Linked DNA regions of Lepisosteus oculatus. The protein of the gene in region 3 purifies or fractionates together with the protein of the main gene of each other region. This does not show direct contact. Links are inferred from orthologs where the notes say so. Each region holds a gene or a part of one and is shown on either strand. Other genes may lie near its edges. The genes, in order: mtor, tnip2 and tnfaip3.

Region 1 (7,188 bases), on a different chromosome or scaffold from region 3:
GGCAAAGCTCTTACCGCGGCGTGCCGTCGCCCCTCGTTCCTGTCCGCCCCCAGCCACTCCAGAGCCCTCTTGACCTCGAACTCCACGTACTCCGCAGTGAAGGTGTCCCCGGCCATCGACAGGTGGCCCATGGCCTTCGAGGCCATCTCCATGACCACCGGGTCACTGGAGGGCAGCAGGTTGCGGAGGTAGTTCGCAAATCGACTGATTCGCGTGGCATTTCCTCCTTCGACTCCAATCAGGCTCACTGTGTGAGGAAAACGGCACAGAAGCTCAGCACCGGCAGCCATTACGGAATAAGATGACCTGCGTTTCAGACAACACTGTTCGGTAGTGTCAGTATCGGGGTTTTCTTCATTCCTCGAGGAAACCTGGGGAACGGACACAGAAATCGCAGGACTGACTCACCAATGGCAAGGATGCCTCCTTTCTTCTCATTGACATCGGAGCTGGACACCAGCTCAAAGATATGATGGTTCAGCTCGTCATAGAAGGTGGTGGCCTCTTCTTGGCTGAGCTGGGAGAGACAGCGGCAACGAGAAAAGGGGCTGGGATTAACATTCCTGCGCTGGGCGAACCTTCAACAGTGCGCCACATCCGCCTCCACCATAGCAGCGCTGACTCGTTTGATCAATCAATTCTGTAAACCGCTAAGAAAACTGAAATCAAACCAGCAATAAATCAAATTCGACCCTCTTGGGTCCAAAGCACTTTCATTCCTCGAACAGGACTGAGACACGCACCACGCTGTGCTACACAGCACCCTGAGCCTCCCCCAGTGACGGGCAGGGGAAAGGGGCAGTGGGGACCCCACGGGTCTCCTCACCTCTCGCAGCTCGGTGGTGACGTAGTGCTGGAGGTCCTTGGCGGCTTTGGCCCGAGTCTCCTCACTGCGGCTCTTCAGGCCGCTGACGAACTGCTGCAGGACGGTGGCCGTTCCCGACATGATGGCCGCTGTCCAGCAGGGGGCGCCCACCTCCCCGTTCAACTGTATTAAAAAAAAAACAACACTCCTGGCAGCGGTTCAGGTGGGATTTTGGGGTTTTGTTTTTTGAAAAGGGGCAGAAAATGGAATTTTCTTCATCGACTGAAAACTAGAGGTATAGAACTGTCTTATTTACACTATATTGATATTTTCCCATAAGATGCTGTTTATATGCTGCTATGATTTCAAGGGAAATAACGGGAAAAATATGCACCAGAGCTATTTATGACCAATTCTCAGTTATCTCTATGTTGTCAAATGTGTAAAATGTTTGGAACTGCTCCTAGGAAAACAAAATGAGTCCCTTTGCACTGTGGTTGGATTATTTCTGGTTTTAAGAGTTGAAGATCTTCAAGAGACCGTGTCAATGCAGTGGAAAACGAAATACTTAAGATTATTTTGATTCCACATAAGAGGTCTAAGCGAGACAGACTGAAAATGACACAACAGGCATGAAGAAACTGGTACTGGCTTTTCTGCAGGTACTGGAAGCTTGGAAACCTGAAATGCTACAAAAACAATGGCAGCCTTGTTTCTCCCCAAAATATTTACAACGATTGTGGATTCCCTCACGACTCAAAAGATTGTCCCTGAGAACTGTTCTGACTGTGGTTGGCTTCTTTTAGTCAACACTATTATTCAGAACAAGAAAAAACTGATGTGATGTGCATAAATCCCAGGGAAGCTACACCTCATTTAATCACTGCCTTACAAGTATGAGAAAGCTGGGGGTCTTGTTTGATCCTGAGCTCTGTTTTGATACACACATAAAAGACACCTGAAAAGTCTCTTACTGTCACCTCAGACACGCTGGCTTTTCTTGACTGCACTGCTGCAGAAACCCTGATTCAAGCCTTCATCGCATCTCAGCTGGGTTAGTCTCCCTACCTGACTCCTAAACAAACTTCATCTGGTCCAAAACTCAGCTGCTTGACTTCTAACATGCTCAAAGGTGACCAATTCTGACACGTCTTCACTGAAGCCCCCGCTACCCAGCACTTTCAGTTCAAACTTTCACTGTTAACTTTTAAAGCCCTACGTGAAATACTCAACACCTCTCATTGCTCCCTGTGTACGGTACCAAACAGGGCTTCACACTCTGCTATAGCAGCACTTTTTACAGCTACAGGTCTTGAACTACCCTCTCAGATGCCCTGCTCAACAACTCTGGTGCTCACTCCCTGCCACTCTGACAGATGTAAACTCTTATACAGTTCCTGCTTAAAAATAGAAGAAAAGCAGATGACCATTTATAACACCTTTTGTGAGGAATTTAAGGAACCTGAGCAGAAGAGAGATACGTATCTGGGGTCCTCAAAGGGAGTCTTGGAACAACAAGTAATTGGCAGTTACAATTGGCAATCCAGTTCACTCTAGATAAAGTACATCCTTACTTTAGTCCAGTATTTACCACATCCATTACAGAAAAACTCAAGAAATAAACCTTAATAAAAGGGAAAAATATACGGTGCTTTTGACCCTCCAGGACAAAAGGCAGTGTGTAAATGCAATAAATGTCTTAACCATGCTTCCAGGTTTCCTCCCACAATCCAAAGACATAGCGGTGATTAATTGCTTTCTGGGAAACTCGGCCCTAGTGTGAGTGGGTGCCCTGCCATAGATTTTCGTCCCGTCCAGGGTGTACCCTGCCTTGTGCTTGCCGAGATGGGATTCAGCTCCCCCGCGACCCTGAACTGGACGAACCGGTTAAAAAATGGACGAATGAATTTGTATTGCTGCTGCACAGCCGGACCTCAGGCTCATAACCAAATCGCTGAAAAAAGACCCTGTTTGGTCCACTTTCTATATATACAGCAAGGGGAGAAGGTATTAAAAGCGGCATAACGTAATGATGAATCTAATTTGAATTAAAATGCCAATAAGTAAAGTAATAATTAATTTATATAGTAACATACTCTAAGATAGACGAAGTGGCTATATTACCTGAAGCGAGATTGCGACACTTTTAAAAAAATGCATCGATCGTCCTTAAAACTGTGTTACGAAAGGCTTCGGTGCACAACGTATTGCATGAATTAAAACGATATTAACGTTTTTGACAAAGTGGACGAATACAGTGTCCCTTAGCAAACCATGTCGTGCATTTTCTTAAATGATTCCTGTACTGAAGCAGCCTTCTTTGAAATACTGACATCGCATCATTAAATGCAAATAAACCAAGGCTCTGAGTATTAGGCTTAGTGCAATAAGCACAATTAACTGGCGTTTATTCAACAAAAAAACACCAAATTATTTTAATGATCCAAGCAAACGCATAATTTCAGTCAGGAAGAACAGTACTCACCAGTCTCAGATTATCACAACCTAATTTGGGAGGGCGACCCAAGACCTTGGAGAGATTTCTATTTTGACCAATGAAAATAAGAGAATTTGATGATTGACAACCACTCTACCCATTCAAAACACGCGAAAGTGATTGACTGGACCCGCTATCCAATGAAACGAAACATTGACTTGCAACAACTTCAGAAAAGGACCAATGTGAAAACGTTTGGCCTTTATTTACGAAATTGAGGATGCTGGTTTTTCATTTGTCGTGTGGGATAGTTTGGTTGGATGGCAACTGTTTAATATAAGCAAGAATCTTGTTTAAAAAAAAATAAAAAATCAAGACATCAGCGCTCATGCCATCGGAGACAATATGTAAAAGCGAAGCGGCAGCCGAAAATCCCAATGTTTAAATTGCATTTATTGCCCAACGACTGCAATAGCAACTTTTTGATCATTGGGAAAACAAAACATAGTAAAACCGAAATACATGTCGGATTTAAGATTGATTTAAGCGTGATCACAAGCGCTGAGCAATCTTTAGGGGACATATGTCCTTTTCTAGATAATTTATTTCCCCGGCATTGTTTTCAAAAGGAATAAAACCGCATCGTTGTTCTGCTAAAATAGGTGACCGAGACTAAGGGTACAGGATGGGTAGTCGGACACATTTCTCGGTTGCACAAGGGGCGGTGGAACAAGATGGCGCTGCCCAGGTGGAGGGCTTGCACGAAATATCCTCGTACTTGACACGTAGCGAAAATAAGATTAGTCCCCGTGTAACGGTTATAGAAGACGGAGAGGAAGAATGCTACTTTCAGCGCGTTAGAGAGACTAAACCCAGAAACAACAGGTACGTTGCGGGATATTTTATTTGTCGTGCCGGTGTACGCCGCATGCAGAGCGAGAACTTTAATACATGTAACGCCTAGTTTTAATTTTAGTCAAACACTTGTGCACAAATCTGTGCACAGATAACAATCTCCGTTTCATTTGTTTAGCTTTTGGAAGGTTAACCTGAAACTAAGTAGCTCAACTTTTTCCCCCCTCTCTCCAACGCACTCAGGAGTAGTTGTTTCACTTTCACACAACCTCATACAAAAGATAAGATTTTTCGTATTCAGTCAACATGTATGTCTTTGAAATACGCTTGTGTGTCCATGTCTTGTACAGTAGCTTAAATACAAATACGCCTTTGTTTTGCAAATAGTTTTCTCTGTTCGTTTGCTATTTTATTTTCTTCGGTAGGGGATATAGTAAAAGTGAACTTGATTGCATTGCTCATCCCAAAGTTAAGATTCCTGTACTGAAGCAGCCTTTTTTTAAATATTATTAAGAATAAGGATGTTGGGTGGCATTCTTTACTGACTTGCCTATACATATATTAATACTTCTCAAAGTAAGGTTTCTTAACTTCTATAGCAGAAAGTCATCAGAAACTAAAATGATTCTGAAACTTGGTTCACACCTTCCCCCTTTCTTTCAACGAAAGACTTGTTTTATTCTAAGTTTCTGTTCATTTGTAGGTTTCATTTTACACCTCTCCTCGCCTCTCTCGACCTCGCACCACTTGGTTTGCCACTCTGCCCCTCCCCTGCTCCTGCCACCTCCTCTCTCCTGGCTTGTGTTTTCCCAGGCTCTATTATCTTTGCTGCCTGCCCTGTCTTTCTTACACCTGAAGAAGGCTCCACAGCCGAAACGTTGTGTTTTCTTTCTTCTCTTTTCAGCGTGAAATAAACCTATTACTTGTCCCTATATATACATATTGAAATGGATACGCCTCTGTGCACAACAATGATCTTGGCCACCTGGGCTGAGGAAGGTCTTCTTTAGCTCAGCTGGCAAGACCCCTGTTGAGCGATGCCTTAGTCCCGGGTTCGTGCCCCTGCGGTGGAGGAATGAACTGGGGTGGGAGTGGCAAGGGCAGAAACCCGAAAACCCAAATCTGTTCCGATCTATTAAATTTGTATTCATGTGGATACAGTGGGCTAAAGTAGTTTAAATTGTTCAAGAATTTTTAAATCATATTAAAATGCATGCTTGTTCTCTAAAACTCGTTTTCTAATTGTATTTTTAGTGGTACACAACAAAATGTTTCCATTAGGAAGATTCTTTAAAGTATTACTTGCTCTTGCCAGTAATTTCTAAGTAGTGAAAATCTAAATTTGCCCAGAATTGGAGTGAAGAGGCAAGAAGTAAAGGGCAGTGTGTTTGGAGCTTGCTCATGTGATTTCTTTGCTTGTCCTTCCTCTGTCCCTGGGCTCTTTGTTTCAGGTGATCCCTACGTGTGATTATTTCCCGGCGGCGGTGTTCATCCTCGGGGTGCAGGGATGACGGAGGGGGAGAAACCCGGCTTTGCGTCAGAGACTTTTGTCCTGGCGGGACCGAACGGGCGGAGCGCAGGAGGAGGAGGGGATCCGGGGGAACATGTTTTTGTCCAGGACCACCAGGAGGAAAAACCCTGCAGCAGGACAAGTGACATGAAGCACAAATGCGCTGCTTACGTTCTGGCCCTGAGGCCGTGGAGCTTCAGTGCCTCTCTGACTCCGGTAGCTCTGGGCGGCGCCCTGGCCTACAAGTCCGAGGGCTCCCTTGACTTCGTGATCCTGCTGGTGAGCGCTGTGGCCGTCCTGGTGGTTCATGGAGCTGGAAACTTGGTGAACACTTACTATGACTTCTCCAAAGGGATTGACCACAAAAAGAGTGATGACCGGACACTGGTTGACCAGATTCTGGAGCCCCAGGATGTAGTCATGTTTGGAGCGGTTCTATACTCCCTGGGATGTTTGTGTGCAACTTGCCTGTATTTTCTGTCCACTCTGAAGCTGGAACACCTGGCTCTTATATATTTTGGAGGCCTGTCGAGCTCTTTCCTCTACACCGGAGGTGAATTACCCACAATTTGTCATGTAGCAATAGTGCATTTATGAGTTCCCTTTTGGGGGAAAAAAAACACTTTTATCCTCGTGATGTGGAATAGTGACTTGAAAAGATGTTGCTGCTTAAAAAATCTCGAGCTGTTTTTTTGGAAGTAGTTTTAAATTTGCCTTTATGGATGGTTTGGACCCTGTTATTTTATCCGTGGCTACAGGTGCGGCGCACGCTGTGCCTGCCTCGCCGTGCCACGTGTCCCCGCTGCTCCTGAGCGTTAACCCAGGTCTCAGCTCTTCCTTCTCCTCCGCAGGTATCGGGCTGAAGTACGTGGCCCTGGGCGACGTCGTGATCCTGATCACCTTCGGGCCGCTGGCCGTCATGTTCGCCCACGCCACGCAGGTGGGCTACCTCTCCGTCCTGCCCCTGCTCTACGCCATTCCGCTGGCCCTCAACACTGAAGCCATCCTGCACAGCAACAACACGCGGGACATGGACTCGGACCAGCAGGCGGGCATCGTGACGCTGGCCATTCTCCTCGGGCCCACGCTGTCTTACATGCTCTACAACCTGCTGCTCTTCATGCCCTACATCCTGTTCTCCATCCTCGCCACGCGCTGCACCATCAGCATGGCGCTGCCCCTGCTGACCCTGCCCATGGCCTTCCCCCTGGAGAAGCAGTTCAGGAGCCAGTGCTACTCCAAGATTCCCCAAAAGACTGCAAAGCTCAATCTCTTAATGGGACTCTTCTATGTCTTTGGTATTATATTGGCACCTCCAGGGAGCCTGCCAAAAGTGTAACCCCCACCCCAGCTCCATTGATTTTGATAAACGTGTTTTTTTTTATGTTGGTATTTTGTTATAGAGTTATTAAGATCAAGGGCTTTCATTTCATTAATTCAAATGAGTGCAGAGAAGGACGTGCAATTATTATAGATAGGACAAGTGTCTTGTTCTTTGCCCTTTTATCTCATTCAGGCTTGTTTGCTCTCCAAGCTGAAATGTTTTTTACTCCGTGGTGATTTTCTGCATATTGATCTTAA
Region 2 (7,156 bases), on a different chromosome or scaffold from region 3:
CTTACATATGCCACTTGCTGTTTCAGAGATTTGTTTTCTTCCTGTAGCCGGCAAATCAAGGCTTGAAGCTGAGCAGAATTTGACGAATCCGCACCCTGGAGAGATACAAAACAGGAAACCAAGGATTAGCAATCACAGTCAAGAACTATATAAGCTTTGCAAAGACTGGAATTGGTTTGCCTTATTGGCATTTTTTTCTGGCTGGGATAATGTTAACATTTCCTCTAAAGTCACGCGGAGTACATCAGTGGTATTACAGCAGGCTGAGAGCAGTGTATGATAAGGGGCTGTACGGTCTCTTTCTCTCAGGTTGAGGTACCTCTCTGGGCTGCTCTGATTGAGTGGCACTGCTGGTGGAGTCCTCCCTCTGCTGCTTCCTCTCCAGTCTCTGCAGTAGCTGCTGACACACGCCTACAGTGGCGCCCAGCTGGGCCCTGAGATTTTCAGCCTCCTCGGCGAGAGAGTAGCACAGGACCGCCCTTGTGGCCTGGACTCTGTCCTTCTCCGCCACGGTCTGCTGCAGCTGCATGATCTCCAGGTCCTTCTCGTGCTGGGGCCTGCTGGTGATTCTCTGGATTTCCTGCTCTTTGGCACTCAGCTGCTGCTGCAGTTCCTGAATCTCCTGAAATTCACGGAGAGTGGGGATTTACAGTTACAAGAAATAAAACGCTTGTTGCTAATCTTAAATAAAGAGTGGTTTTATCTTGAATACCTATGCTGTGTGTGTTTTTATATCTATTTAAAGCACATAATTTAAATGTTTTCCTGTCCAATGCAGACCACACACAGACTGGGGAAAAGTAATGATGAGATGCTGACCTTCAGTTCTGCACTGTACTGTATATGATCTTAAATTCATTGCTTACTAAATTATTTGAAATAAAGGAGGCTTTCTTTTATTTCTCAGTGTCATGCCCTTATCTTGCAGGAACTATATGCACAGAAGCTAGCTTGTTCAAACACCTTGAGAACATATTTTTTTTTGTCAATTGATCTACCTAGTGTGGTCAAATGAAGTAAACATGTAATGGCATATGTTCAACTAAGTCTATATGCTGTATCTACATCAACATATTTCTTCATCTAATCATGAAACTGTAAGAATACAGAATCACAGACATGAACATTCCCTGAAACACAACATGCTAATAGCATTAAAAAAAAACGCAGGACACTAAACTCAAAACAGTCCTTTTTTCAAAAATAGGTTCCATGCACTTTCTGGCATAAAGGGATGGCAGAGAAACAGAAGAAATCACCAAACGAATTAACAAGTAAAAACAAAACAACCAAACCAGATAAGATACTTTTGAAAACAACAACAAAACAATCTTGATTTTCTGTTTGCATTTACCCTGTTTACAGACGCTTATGAATGTAAATGATAACTTTAAAAACCATATAAACAAGTCACATTTGTTTCTAGTGAAAGCACCAGCATTGCCAATCGGTGCCTTCCATGAAATGATACAGCTCTTCCCTGAGAAATGCTCTTGGGGTTTGGAAAAACTGAGTTTTTCCAGCTAAAGTGGAGGTTGCTTGTTTTAAGTTTTTACTCTTCCGGTTTCAGTATTGCAAATGAATTATTTCGCTGAATGTCTGAACCTTTACGATATTGAGATATTTGTCTAAGGCACTAAAAAGACGAGCAATAGAGTTGAATTAAATTAGAGTTGTAAGCAATATAACACACACTCGCGTTCATCGCTAAAAGCTGGAAGACGTTTATAGAATGTGTAGTTCACTCAGCCGTTTATTTTTCGATTATAATAAAACTAGGTCAGCAGAGTCCAACCCAAGTTCAAAATGTGTACTTTTTAAATAATTACTCTAATTACAGTTGAGAAGTGCATTAAATATTGGACATAAATATAAAAAAATACCTAATTTTATTAACTATACCGATACTGTAATATAACCCAAATGATCTTTGTTCAGCGAGGCGGAATTGGAAATATAGCCGTAACCATTTGGCCTATAATGAAACTTCCTAACATCCTACATCAGACGCTGCAGAAATCCCCCTTTCTATTTGCGTCACAAGAAAATTACAATCCTTTTCAATTTACAGCGGCTTACAGTCATAATTAAATTACCCACTAGTTTAATATATATAGATATTTATTTTTCAGATAAGAAAAAAGGAATTATTACTAATAGCAGGGGAACCGCTACAAATAAAATGCATTTTATTGCAGTATTATAACATCTTAAGCAGCAGATGTACACATTATACACCAAGAAATCACTTACTAGTTTCATGTTTCCCAATTGCCGATCAGCGCTTCTTTCGGTCTCTCTCTGCTGATGCTTAAGTTTACCGATTTCTTGACACAGGTTCTCGAACAAGGATTTAGAAGGTCCAAAAACCAGAGGTTCCTCTCCACCCATATGAACCGTCGTGTTTTCGTATGCGGCCAATCTTGTCTTCAAGTCAGCAATGATATTGTCCTTCAGGCACATCTGGTGGCTTAACTTGGCGATTTCTTGATTCGTTTCGTGGTAGAACGTGTTTAAAGTATTGTAGCTCTGTAGTTTTGTTTTGAGCGCCGCGTTTTCTCGCTTTATGCTTTCCATCAGAGAATCAGCTTGGTTGTATCCAGCGATCGGGCGTTCTGCGCAACCTGAAAGAGCCGACATCGGATGTCCCTCCGCTAATCCTCCAGCATTCCAGGTTAAAATTCGCTGTGTTCTTCACTTGAGACGCGCACTAACTTTTTATTCGACTGAGGGCTCTACGAACATCTCCCAGAGACAAGGGTCAGCCGTATAATAGATCGGTACATACAATTTCGAAATAATATTCCAGTACCTACTGGGGATTTCCTTCGGGACTTCCCCCAGTCGCATCGGCGGACTTTTCTTGTACTTTTCTTTCTTAGCAACTCTGAGATCCTTCAATGACTGCTTCTTTTCCGCACCGCTCTGATTAAGCTCTTCTGGTAACTTCTGGTAAATGTATTAATGAAAAAGATCAAGCGCTCCTGACTCCTTTTCTTAATGAAACCGTTTCTCTCTCTTTTTTTCCAGTAGAATGTATCTAGCCATGTCACAGAGTAAGACTACTTCTGCACATGCGTGAGATGTTTCCGGTTATAGACGGTAAACTTGTCTGGTGAATTCGTAACACCTCTTTTTTAATAGACTTTGATCATTCTGGATTTTTTTTTTCACTTTGCTACACACGGTTGATATACTCGGGACAATTTCTAAGTTTCTCACTTCATGGTTTCTTACATAACGAACACTTTTTTTTAAAACAAAAATGAAAAACACAGCAGACTTTTAAGAAGTTTTTTTTTACAAGTGTTTTCCCCCCCTTGTGATTAAATGTTTCTTACATGTCGCGTTACCAATTAAACAGTACCGACAAACACTCAATATTCGTAGAATTGTCCATCGTGTAATGTTTTTATTTTGTTTTTATTCTTTCCTTAAGCCTCTTTGCAGCCAGTGGGCTATTCATATACATTATCCTTAAAGATGGCTGCTGTTGCAGTTGTGTTTTTTTGTACTTTCTGATGCATTTGGCTCAAGAATGTTTAAATGGAAAATGGTTTAAAAATTACAGAGACCTGGACTCTTTTACCATCTTTGCAGATGCGAAGCTTCCTTCTACTATACTGTAGCTCTCTAAGGAATCCCCTTCAATCTTCTGATGGGCTTGTGTGACTGGAAATTAATTTTATTGACAAATGTAAGTCTGTCCTTACAAACAATAATCCTCACAACCACTGACTTGTTTTTCTCTGCTGTACCTGCAGTGGGAAATATTGGCTTGGTCATATGGTTTTGCGCGCTAAGTGCTCCTGGCTTTTAAACAGCCAACAATTATCAGTATTTTGCGAATATTCACGATTGTTCAGTATACAAGGGGCACTTGTATCCGTCTTCTTTTTATAAATATTTGTCACTGCGCAGTGTTCACTGTTTATGTAATATTTCAACTGTACTGATGATTTTTACACCTGGATTTGGAGAGCCAAAGGGCCTTCTGGAATTCATTAAATCTGAGATTCTAATTCAAATTGATTGATTGGACAGATAACTCTTGAGTCAATTAAAACCAAAATTCTCTTATATTGCCGCTGTTTCCAGGTCTTAAGTCAAATCAATATTCTAATACCCTTTTAAAATCTACAGAGTTGTTACTCTTCAAGACTGGGAATGTGGATCACTGAGTTGCTGAATGAAATCAAATGTTTTGCGTCAATCCAGCAGTTTTTACTAAAATACAGTAAATATCAAATATGTATTCTTAGGAAGTGTATAACATTCTATTTCAATGATGAATTCCGCAAACTTTGTATTGCAAAGTAATATATGGTACAAAAAAATCTTAAGTTCACCTGCTTAAATTATTTTAAATACTAGTAATAAATAGATTAATGTTGAGATGATTATCTATAATTCACAATTCACACAGAACATTGGATCACAGGTAGAGAAAATGATGCTTCCCAGTACAGAACATACGCAACTGCAAAGAAAAATGTACCCTCATCTTAATTCTGTGGGGTATGTCACATAGATGTTGACTTGTAGTATGATCTACAATAATAACACCGACCAGAAGGGATGTTTGATACCTCATTTCAACTTTAGGCAAATAGAAAACTGACTGGATGTTTGAAGGAGGTTAGGGAAAAGAGATAGGTTACTGTTAAAATAGCAAACTAGACATTTCCTGAAAGAACCAGCTGTGAATTATATCAATACTGTACTGAAGTATTACAGTAACACGTATACAGTGCCAAAAAATTGTCAAACCTGTAGGCTGATCCATATTCTCATATATATTATACAGTATATATCATACAGCGGCAGTGACTTCAATTACATATTTCCTGTAACTTTTTATCAGTCTCTTGCTTGAGGAATTGTGCATTCTTCCATATACAGCTGCTTCAAAAGTCAGTAACATTTGAGGGTTTCTTTGCTTAAACAGTTTGCTTCAAGCCCCTGCCATAACATTGCCTCGGGATTTAGATTCAGACTTTGACTTGGCCAATCCAAAATGTGAAATTACGTACCTCTTCAGTCATCTTGTTGCAGATCAGCTTGTGTATTTAGGATCATAGTTCAGGTGGGCAGCTGCGTCAGCATGCGTAGGCTGCAAAGGAACAAGTAATAGGTTTATTCCATGCTGAAAAAAAGAAGAGAGAAAACAGAACGTTTCAGCCATGGAGCCTTCTTCAGGTGTGAGCTCACACCTGAAGAAGGTGGCCACACCTGAAGAAGAGCTCACAGCTGAAGAAGGCTCCACGGCCGAAACGTTGTTTCTCTCTTCTTTTTTTCAGCATGGAATAAGCGTATTACTTGTTCCTTTAGGATCATAGTCTTACTGCATGACCCACTTTTGGCTCAGCTTCAGCTGACAAATAGACGGTGTGATACTCTCCTGCAGAATGTGCCGATACAACAGCAGATTCCCAGTTCCATCTATGATGGCAAGCTTTGTGGGTCAGACAGTGTTTGGTTTTTACTATTCATAACATTTTTCATCCATCCACCCATTTTCTAACCATCTTATCCAGTACAGAGCTGTGGGGGAGCCTATCCTGGCAAGCAGTGCGTACAACGCAGGCCAGCACTATTCATTGGGGCTAAAGGGCTTAAGCTCTTGCAGTAGTCTTGTGCATGGTCCGGGTGCTCTTTGGCCAACTTGAGATGGGCAGCAAGTAAGGATCAATGCCCTCTTCCTGTCTGTTGTCCCAAGAAAACCATTCCAGTTCAGTCTTTTCTTGATAGTTGAGGCCTGAACAATGATATAAGCTTCAGTGAGGCCTGGAAAGCCTTAGATGTCACCATGGGCTTCTTGGATGGTTTTCTGAGTGGCTCAGGGAGCAATTTGCAGGATGACTGGAGCTGGATAGGGTCATTGTTACATTTTTTCATTTGTAGACTACAGTATCTGTCTAACAGTAGATGGATAGAGTCCCAAATGTTTAGAAGTAGTTTTGTAACTGTCTCCAAAATGATAAGCATTAACTACTAATTTTCTGAGGTCCTCTGAAATTCCTTTAGATTGTGTGTATTTCCACTATCCTGTATTGAGAAGACCAAACTCACAATATTTCCATCCATTGTAAACTGTAGGATAAGGTGGTCCAACCTTATACTTAAAGACTTGTCATCCATTTATTAACCACATCATTATAATTATTCCCTTAATTGTAGTACTTAAACTTTTCACTATTTCACATACATGTACACTGATTCTCAGTTATTCATCTACAGTACGTTTTACTTCATAAACTACTATACCAGTTGTAATTTAAAAAAGTTATTATGGTGATAGAATTTATCATCATGGTAAGAAATTGAGATGCTAATTATAATAGTTTGCGTTCACAAGCCTTTTCTCGGCACAGTAATAGTATTAATAAACTTTGTAACTCTGCCAAATTCCTTAGTCTAATATGACTAAATTACTGATAAATGTAATGATTCTTCCGTTAAAATAATTACAAGGAAAAACAGGGGAGAAGTTCCATTATTAGAGGAACCTGCAAGAGGCTCATGTGAAACCTAGTGCCCAGTAATTGAAAAGACGCACAGTCAGGATGAAAGTATTTGTCATTTTGAGTACAATATGCAAAACAAGCATGTGTATTATGAAGAGTACTTAAATCAAGAAGAAAATACATCAATCTATCCTAAACACGATTTGGCACATTAAGTCTGATTTTATTTTACTTTAAATAAGATTGCATTGCAAACGTGACATTATGCATAGACATAAGGAATGTTGCAAAAGTCTGGAGAAGATCATTTAGCCCATGTACCTCATTTTTCGGCTTGTAGTTAATTAAACTTAAAATGCAACCTGGCCTTTTCTTCAAGAAGGTTTCCTGAGTTAGTTTGCATTTGTGTTCTCTTCTTTATCCTGTTAATGCCTTTAAGGATTCTGACTATGTGAATCAGGCCCTCTGGATGTCCTCTTTGGTCAGGGGTAATGGACATTCTAATATTTAGGTGGGTAGCTGCGTCAGCATGCGTAGGCTGCAAAGGAACAAGTAATAGGTTTATTCCATGCTGAAAAAAAGAAGAAAGAGAACACAACGTTTCGGCCGTGGAGCCTTCTTCAGGGACAGAAAGAGAGGCCAATCAAGAGGTGTGTTCTCCCGCTACTTTACCTTTGCCTACTGCCCTG
Region 3 (7,650 bases):
CAGAATCCTAGGAGCCTTTCGGTAGTTAAAGGACCGCAACATTTTTTTCAACACAACTAGCCATAATCCGAAGAAGTCTTTATGGTTATAGCAATCGGTTCTGAACTAGTGACAGCAGGCACCAGAAAGTGTGCCGCACGATGTGCACGCGTGGAAACGCACTGATCTACATGATCCTATAAGGGTTATATATAAAAATGCAATTGTAGCAATCTTCCCTTACAGCCCGGTTCACAGACCACGTCTTTCATAAAACGCACTCGTGTCTGGGGTTTAACTGCAGACTGAAGTTTGTGAACAGAACTGGCGTTATCGCTCCGGTGCGTTTAAAAAAATCAGACAAACATTCACATATATGGATAAGAACTGTGCCGGACTGACAACACTTAACACCATTAACACAAGTAACCGCGACCAAGAGCGCAGTTTCAACGGCAACGAACGAATGAACTGGAACAGAATATTTTAAAAGCTACCAAAACTTACCTTTACAATGTATCTAGGACAGACAAAACTCCTCGATGCTGTACTGTACAAAAAGGTAACCCTGAACCCCAAGCTCTAGACTGTATAACCCACAGTCCCAAACGCCATTAAACCTTCATATCCCTTGGGTAGTATGATTGCTTCTTGGTTCAGGCTCCACTCACTCAGGCTAGAGACTTGTCAACTAAACAAGAAAAAAAAACGACCTCTAGATAAGTTAGAGACTTTTTTTTTTCACATGGAAAAGCCCGGGTGGGGATTTCCAGTATGAGGGACTTTCCACTTAAGCTTGCACAATTTTAGAGGTACTAAAATACGCTCATCGAACGCTAGGGGGAGAAAGAGACAGACACTCTGGAAAGCTGGTCTGTTGTCATAAAGAAACCTTACATAAGGACACGATCAGACCATTCATAGACCAACGCATGATCTCAGATCTTGAAGTCCCTGCTCATTTTTAAGGGAATGTTATGACCTAAAGTATCGCCCAGCGGTAAAGAAAAACACATTATTCTTAATAGTATAAACTGCATGCGTAATGTATCTGTAAAGGAAAAAACCCCACTAATGGTGTCTTTTCCCTTTGAAAGTTTGATGTTTTATAAAAAAGTCAAATATTTTAGCACCCTGATATTCTAGGCATTAAAAGACCGCTTGCTTTGTAAAGCACAAAAACAAAATGACATTTTCCCGGCAAAAGTGTTCCTATCCATCCAACGGTCTTCCTTAAAACAGAAGTCAAGCAACATTTGTATATTCAGAAGGGTAATACGTACAAACTGTATATTTCACTTTTACTTCGGGTGAGCGTGTACGAATTTGGCAGCAGTGAAAGGTAACGAAAAAGACAGCTGATCACACACGCATACTGTACTATTAGATCAGTATCAGCAACTTGTTCTGCTCCTTTAGAAGCGGGGGAGGGCATCAGAAGGCAGAACCCACAAGCCCTCAGGACATCACTCAATCTGTCTCCTCCCAGACGCGACTCCTACTGGCTGGCTAGTCACCAGGATTCTGCCAGGCGGATTCAGACATCCTTGTAAATACCCGAGCTTTAAAAAAAAAAATCCAGTAGGCCTCCACACTCTGGCGTAAATACCAGAAAAAAAACACACTGCGTTTTTGGGGAGATCTGGAGTTGTATTTCTGTCTTGCTGCACCAGAGTGGCGAGCATGCGCTTCTGCAGTGTGGTGCTTTCAGGAGTTAGGCTGAGGGAAATTATTTTATGATCTGTACAGAAAGGGACGTCCCAGACTGAAGATGAAATGTGTCAGGGTCTTTCAGACTCTGCGGGGGATGAGTGTTACTCCACAGCCCCCATCTGAAGGAGAAGCTTGAAGTCAATAAAGTGCCAGTGAACTTCCTCCAGTTTTTGAAAACAGCCAGGCCCCCTGTTCTCTCTTTCGGGTTCAGCTTCAGTCTTCTTCAATGCCTGGAGGGCTCACTGAGCTCCTCCTAGCAGATGGTCACTTGATCTCCGAGGAGTGATGATCAGAGGAAAAGCACCTTGTGGACAGAGGCCCTTGTGCCTGCTGTGAGTGTTGATGAACTCATCTCCAGCCACTTTCACACCTCACACAGGATATTGTGTAACACAGAGAGAATCCTTATCTCCCTTTTGGGTTTGCATTCTAATAGCTAGACTTGAACATAAGAAAACAATGAGAATAGGCCATAAGGCATGTCTAGTTCTTTAGTATCTAATTGATCTGAATTGATCTAATTGATTTAATGATCTGAGAATCTCAATCCACCATTTTTTTACAGAAGCCAGGACATCAAGATTCAACAAAAGAGCTAATAGACATCTTGTTCCAGACCCTCACCACCCTTAGTGTAAAGAACGGCATTCTTTCCTCAGTTTTAAAAGTACTTTCCCTTTCTCCTGTGGGTTTGGGGTTGTGTTTTTCTGGCAGAAATAATGCCATGATTTAAGGGACTGCCAGGGGGAGAATTCTGCTTTGTTCTTGATTTGTGGAAAGTTTCTATAAAAAGAAGATTTCAGTCAGGCAGAAGCTTACACAACAAAACAACAAAACAACTTTTTTTTTTCCATGAAATGATCATTTTAATTTTAAAACAAATTCTATTCCGAGAGAGAAAAAATCAGCAACCTGTTCGCCGAGGTAAAGTGTCTCTGTAGGAGCTGTGTGGCAGTTTCTTTCTGTTGCAATGTGACATAACCAGGGGTGTGACTGTTTAAAACGCGATCTTTCAACACAGGCAGGTTCAGGCCAACAAAACACACAAAAACACCCAGCTGTAACGTTTAAAGGCCCGAGTTGCAATTTATTTTACGAGGCGGGGAAACGCCTAACACCATCACCTAAAAACAAAAGCAAAACAGTCTCAGCTCTTCATCGAGCTTCTGCTTAAAATTCTTCATGAAGCCCCCGTCTAATATAAGCCGAGCAGCTACACTGCTGACCGGCCACTAACACAGAAAATTCTCAAACACGGTCCCTCCAACACTCTACACAAAATTTCCAAAAATCCACAAAATTCGGTTTCGTTTCCCTGAACTCACAAAGTCGCTCTGCTCCCTGCTCGGTCCTTCCGCTGGCGAGACGTACAGTACGCGCAGGGGCTGTCCTGGAGCAGCAGACAGCCACGCCCACAGACAGCCTCCGAGAGCTTCCTGTTCCTGTTTTGTAGTCACCTGCCTTCCTGCGGCTGGTCAGGTGACTGTGCGAGCAGCCCCTTCCCCAGAGGGGTCTGCGGAATGTGGTCCCTGCTGGGGCGGTGCTCTTACAACGTGTTTCATCCCAAGACCGTAGCCAGGCAACAATGAAGCCTGAACTCAGTCCCTTCGGGTGTTTATTGGTGTCCCTGCAGAGGAACAGGAGCTGTGCTGCCTCAGGCTCAACATCACAAATCAATGTAAAGTGGGACATGTTAATATTGCACGTACATGTATCCACCATTGCAGTATTACTACTTAACCACACCATGGAAAGTATTGCTGGGATCTGTTAATTTAGCCTTCACCAAAGGTTATGCTAAGATACAATAAAGCTGGCTTGCTTGAGCAACTTGCGCTGCATAACAAAGCATAACAAAATGCAGGACCAACAGCCATAAACGTACCATAAACAGGATAAAGCAGATCAATGCCTGCTGGATATCAAAGGACAGGACAAAGTAGTTCAACATAAACTATTTATTAAAGGACAGGTCTGTTTTGCACTGCAGACCCAACGATTGTGTTGCTGTCCTTATTGTGGAAGACCGAGTCAGAAAGTCAAGACAGTGACTATGCGTGGGAAAGGTTTTCTGTTCGCACCTAAGACCACTGTCTTAGGTGCAAACTAAAGCCTGTGATTCCTCACACCCATTCAACCAGAGAGAAGTGAAACAGACTGCAGGATGCCAAATGCCATCTTCCTGTCCTGGTTGTTTGACTTCTGACACTGCCCCTTTCCCTGTATGTTCCTTTGATATGTTAAAGTCTTGCCTACTTTTAATGTATAAAAAGGAAAGTATAACTTCAGTAAAGTGAGCATGTCTTGAGTGCTAGGGGGAACCCTTTCTCTGTGATATGCTCCCCTTCAGCTGATTGTATTAAAGATCTGTGTTTGACAATCTCCTAACCTGAGTGAAGACTGAGTTTTCTTCGACATTATTGAGCTCTAAAAAACTGAATCTGCACTGGACTGCGTCCTGCTCCTTTGATGAACATCCTGCTCCTTTGATGAACAATTTCCCACAACAACTTCGTAATCAAGGGTTGCTCACAGCTGTCCAACGGGAGTTCAGCAATGATTCACTGGGTGTGGGGGGCGTGGGCTCTCCCAACACCCTGGGTGGGCCTGGATGCTTGGACACACCCCCACACGCAGTGTGCGCAGGGAGGCATGCCGTTGCCCTGAGCCGACTCCTGCTGCGCTGCTGGGACAGGGTCAGGAAGTCATCGGAAACGCGGGATAAAAAAAAACAGACGGATTTCTGAATGATGACTAATGTACTGAATAATGTTCTTCTCCCCTAGACCAATGGCTGTGTAACATCAAGAAAGTTTTGTATACTCCCACTTCTGCAAAGTGTCCAAGCAATCTAAATGGGCTCTTCTCCTTTGTAACCTATCTTATAATCAAAGCCAGATCCACACTTACATCAGCCAATTACAGTGACTCCAGACCTCAGCTACCACACAGGAGGTGTTAGTTTCCCTGGATTCTGGAAATAAATTAATATCTGGCTGCAAACAGTACATCTGTAGTGCATCTATTTGACTGGCTTTGTGAGTGGAAAGTGTTGCATACCTGCTTACAAAACATTGTGAAAGGTGGAAGGAATTGTGGTGAGAAGTTAGGGCAGGGACTTCAAAGGTACAGGCTGACTGAAACTTCCCTTGTCACGTTGCTATCGCATCAGTATTGTTCCATTTTCATTTTAAAGTTAGACAAAGCAAGGTGGTGACAGGAAATGAAGATTCTGGGCTTTGAACTATTTATTCCTCTGAGCAACACTAAGCGAATAGTTCAGTCTTTGTCATGAAAGTCAACAAAAAGGAAATAATGTTAAATTACAATTGTGTGCTGTCCCTGTATCTCCCTTATAAAATGTATTTTTGTTTTTGCTTATAATATGCATAGGCATTTTCATCAGATAGGAAAAATTCCATCAAATTGAAAAACATTTGTCTTGTTTGACATCTTTATCTTGCATATTTTATAGATAAACATTGACTGAATATCCACCTCAGGGGCTACAACATAATCATGGTTCATGAATGATTAATGAATAAAATTGACATTTAAAAGGGTTGTAAAGATTTTTGTGTCTACAAAAAACAAATATGTCTAAGATATAAAATTCACAATGCTTGTCATAAGATCTTGTAACTCCACATATGGCCTTGTCTGCACACATCTCTCAACCTTGCAGATGAGGTCTGGAATCTGCAGTCTTCTTTCAATGCCAAAAATGTTCAGCTTCCTTGAATGCCCTTGAATGTATCTGGTGTTGCTCTTCAATGGACTGATTACAGACTGGATTGCAGCTCCAGACTCAACCAAACAGTCTTTGATTTAAATTCTCCACTTTTAACACTTGAACGTATCCTAGTGTTTTGCTTGCTGTTTCTACAGCTTCCCCACATTGTCAAGAGAAGATGCAAATTATGTGTCAACATAAATACCTCAGTCTTTGTCATAAGAAGCCCCTTCAGCTCAGTATTTCTCACTTTATGTTTGTAGTTTATGTTTCTGCTTCCTGCTTTTAATACCCTATACTTCTCTGTGTTAAATGTCTTGTGCCAGGTGTCTGACCAGTCTTGAATGTCATCTTTTTGCATGTCAGTTGTTGCTCCTGTAGTATTTGCCTATAGTAGTCACTTACCCACCAATACAATAGCCACTATATGCAGTAGTAGTTCAGGTGGGGAGCTGCGTCAGCATGCGTAGGCTGCAAAGGAACAAGTAATAGGTTTATTCCATGCTGGAAAAAAAGAAGAAAGAAAACACAACGTTTCGGCTGTGGTGCCTTCTTCAGGTGTTAGGGTATGCAGTAAATATGCAGTATGAGTGCACGATACCCATGTGCTGAAGATTTCTTCAGTCAGTAGAGGTCAGTGTACTTGTCAGTGACATTAGTGTGCCTTTCAACAGAATGGGTGCTGTAAGAGTATTTTACTGTTGAAAGAGCAGCAGAAGTAGGGCCCACAAACTGACTTTCTTCATTTCTTCAAACAAACCAGAACCCAATGGCACAAAAAGCACAGCACCTACTCCAGAGAAGCCTCAGCACCTCAGGCATTGCAAAGCGCTGTTCTGGGGATTTCCTGCAGCTGCCTGCCTGCCTGCAATTCAGCCTCGTACACTGAATGGCAGGGACTTTGACACAACTGTCCCCGGCATTCTGATTCACAGGTAGAGTGGAGTTTGAGTTTTTAAAGGAAGTGAAAGAAGACAGAAAACATTAATGACAGGGAGGAAAAGTAAATTATGTGAATAAAAACGTACGTTATTCCTGGGTTTCTCAAGGTGAGACACTGAACTCGTTTATGCACCTATGCTGTTATCTAAGGCATATCTAAAGGGATGTGGTGATGCTATCTTAAGCCATTGTGAGATGTAGTATGCAATCACACTTAGACGCAGCTATTAGAAGGTACTATCAACTCTATTTCCTCTTTCTCTGTGGTTTCTTCTGTTCCCCTTATCATTGCATCACCGTCCTGCTTTTACTGCTTCTGAATAGAGAAACCATTTCCTTGGGGGCTCTCTGCAGTGCTGATTGCTCCCTTTCTTGCACCGTATTTGAATGTCAGGGATTTCCCTTCCCGCTAATTCATTCTCTAAATAATTCAAGCTGAACACTATCCATGAGAGATCCAGGACAAACCAGCAGCCATATCACCCTGCAACTCCCAGCTGGCACCCCACTGAAGCTCAGCTGGTGTGAGCCTGGTTAGTACCTGGATGGGAGACCTCCTGGGGAAAACTAAGGTTGGTGCTGGAAGAGGTGTTAGTGGGGCCAGCAGGGGGTGCTCACCCTGCGGTCCATGTGGGTCCTCATGCCCCAGTATAGTGACGGGGACACTATACTGTAAACAGGCACCGTCCTTCGGATGAGACATAAAACCGAGGTCCTGACTCTCTGTGGTCATTAAAAATCCTGGGGTGTTTCTCGAAAAGAGTAGGGGTGTAACCCTGGTGTCCTGGCCAAAGTTCCCATTATCCCTTACCAATCATGGCCTCCTAATAATTCCCATCTCTGAACTGGCTTCATTACTCTGCTCTCCTCCCCACTGAGAGCTGATGTGTGGTGAGAGTACTGGCGCACTATGGCTGCCGTCGCATCATCCAGGTGGGGCTGCACATTGGTGGTGATGGAGGAGAGTCCCCATTACCTGTAAAGCGCTTTGAGTGGAGTGTCCAGAAAAGCGCTATATAAGTGTAAGCAATTATTATTATTATTATTATTATTATAAACGTGGCTTCTCCCAGAAAACTGCAGCTTTTGATGTCTGTTTCAGAAATCATAGCATTTTCTGGTCACATAGAGAAATGCACTTCCCATGTAGGAACCAGTGGGATGCAAAGTGAGTTTTACTTTCTGCACCTAAACACTCCAGAGACGCTTTCCAGTGTTTTCTAAGAAACATCTGCACACTGGTGCATCTGTTGGTGATCTGTTGCTCTGTACCATCCAAGGCT

Evidence for each region.
Region 1: the proteins of tnfaip3 (region 3) and mtor purify together in Homo sapiens (affinity purification with western blotting, with the first as the bait; 3 studies listed by BioGRID). This does not show direct contact. The link is inferred for Lepisosteus oculatus from reciprocal best matches to the Homo sapiens genes TNFAIP3 and MTOR.
Region 2: the proteins of tnfaip3 (region 3) and tnip2 purify together in Homo sapiens (affinity purification with western blotting; 5 studies listed by BioGRID and IntAct, with this or other methods). This does not show direct contact. The link is inferred for Lepisosteus oculatus from reciprocal best matches to the Homo sapiens genes TNFAIP3 and TNIP2.

The regions. Positions count from the first base shown.
Region 1 is NC_090720.1:2,864,102-2,871,289, forward strand, and holds the start of mtor (serine/threonine-protein kinase mTOR), read right to left. Parts: upstream 3,024-7,188; 5' UTR 2,966-3,023; coding exon 2,930-2,965; intron 989-2,929; coding exon 827-988; intron 518-826; coding exon 409-517; intron 248-408; coding exon 15-247; intron 1-14. Other genes in the region: ubiad1 (ubiA prenyltransferase domain-containing protein 1), read left to right, coding at 5,605-6,160, 6,459-6,946. UniProt on the Homo sapiens protein: Serine/threonine protein kinase which is a central regulator of cellular metabolism, growth and survival in response to hormones, growth factors, nutrients, energy and stress signals.
Region 2 is NC_090696.1:72,662,150-72,669,305, reverse strand, and holds the start of tnip2 (TNFAIP3-interacting protein 2), read right to left. Parts: upstream 3,072-7,156; 5' UTR 2,641-3,071; coding exon 2,254-2,640; intron 623-2,253; coding exon 320-622; intron 96-319; coding exon 6-95; intron 1-5. UniProt on the Homo sapiens protein: Inhibits NF-kappa-B activation by blocking the interaction of RIPK1 with its downstream effector NEMO/IKBKG.
Region 3 is NC_090712.1:1,532,686-1,540,335, forward strand, and holds the start of tnfaip3 (tumor necrosis factor alpha-induced protein 3), read right to left. Parts: upstream 3,100-7,650; 5' UTR 3,018-3,099; intron 2,476-3,017; 5' UTR 1,263-2,475; exon of another isoform or gene 487-1,262; intron 1-486. UniProt on the Homo sapiens protein: Ubiquitin-editing enzyme that contains both ubiquitin ligase and deubiquitinase activities.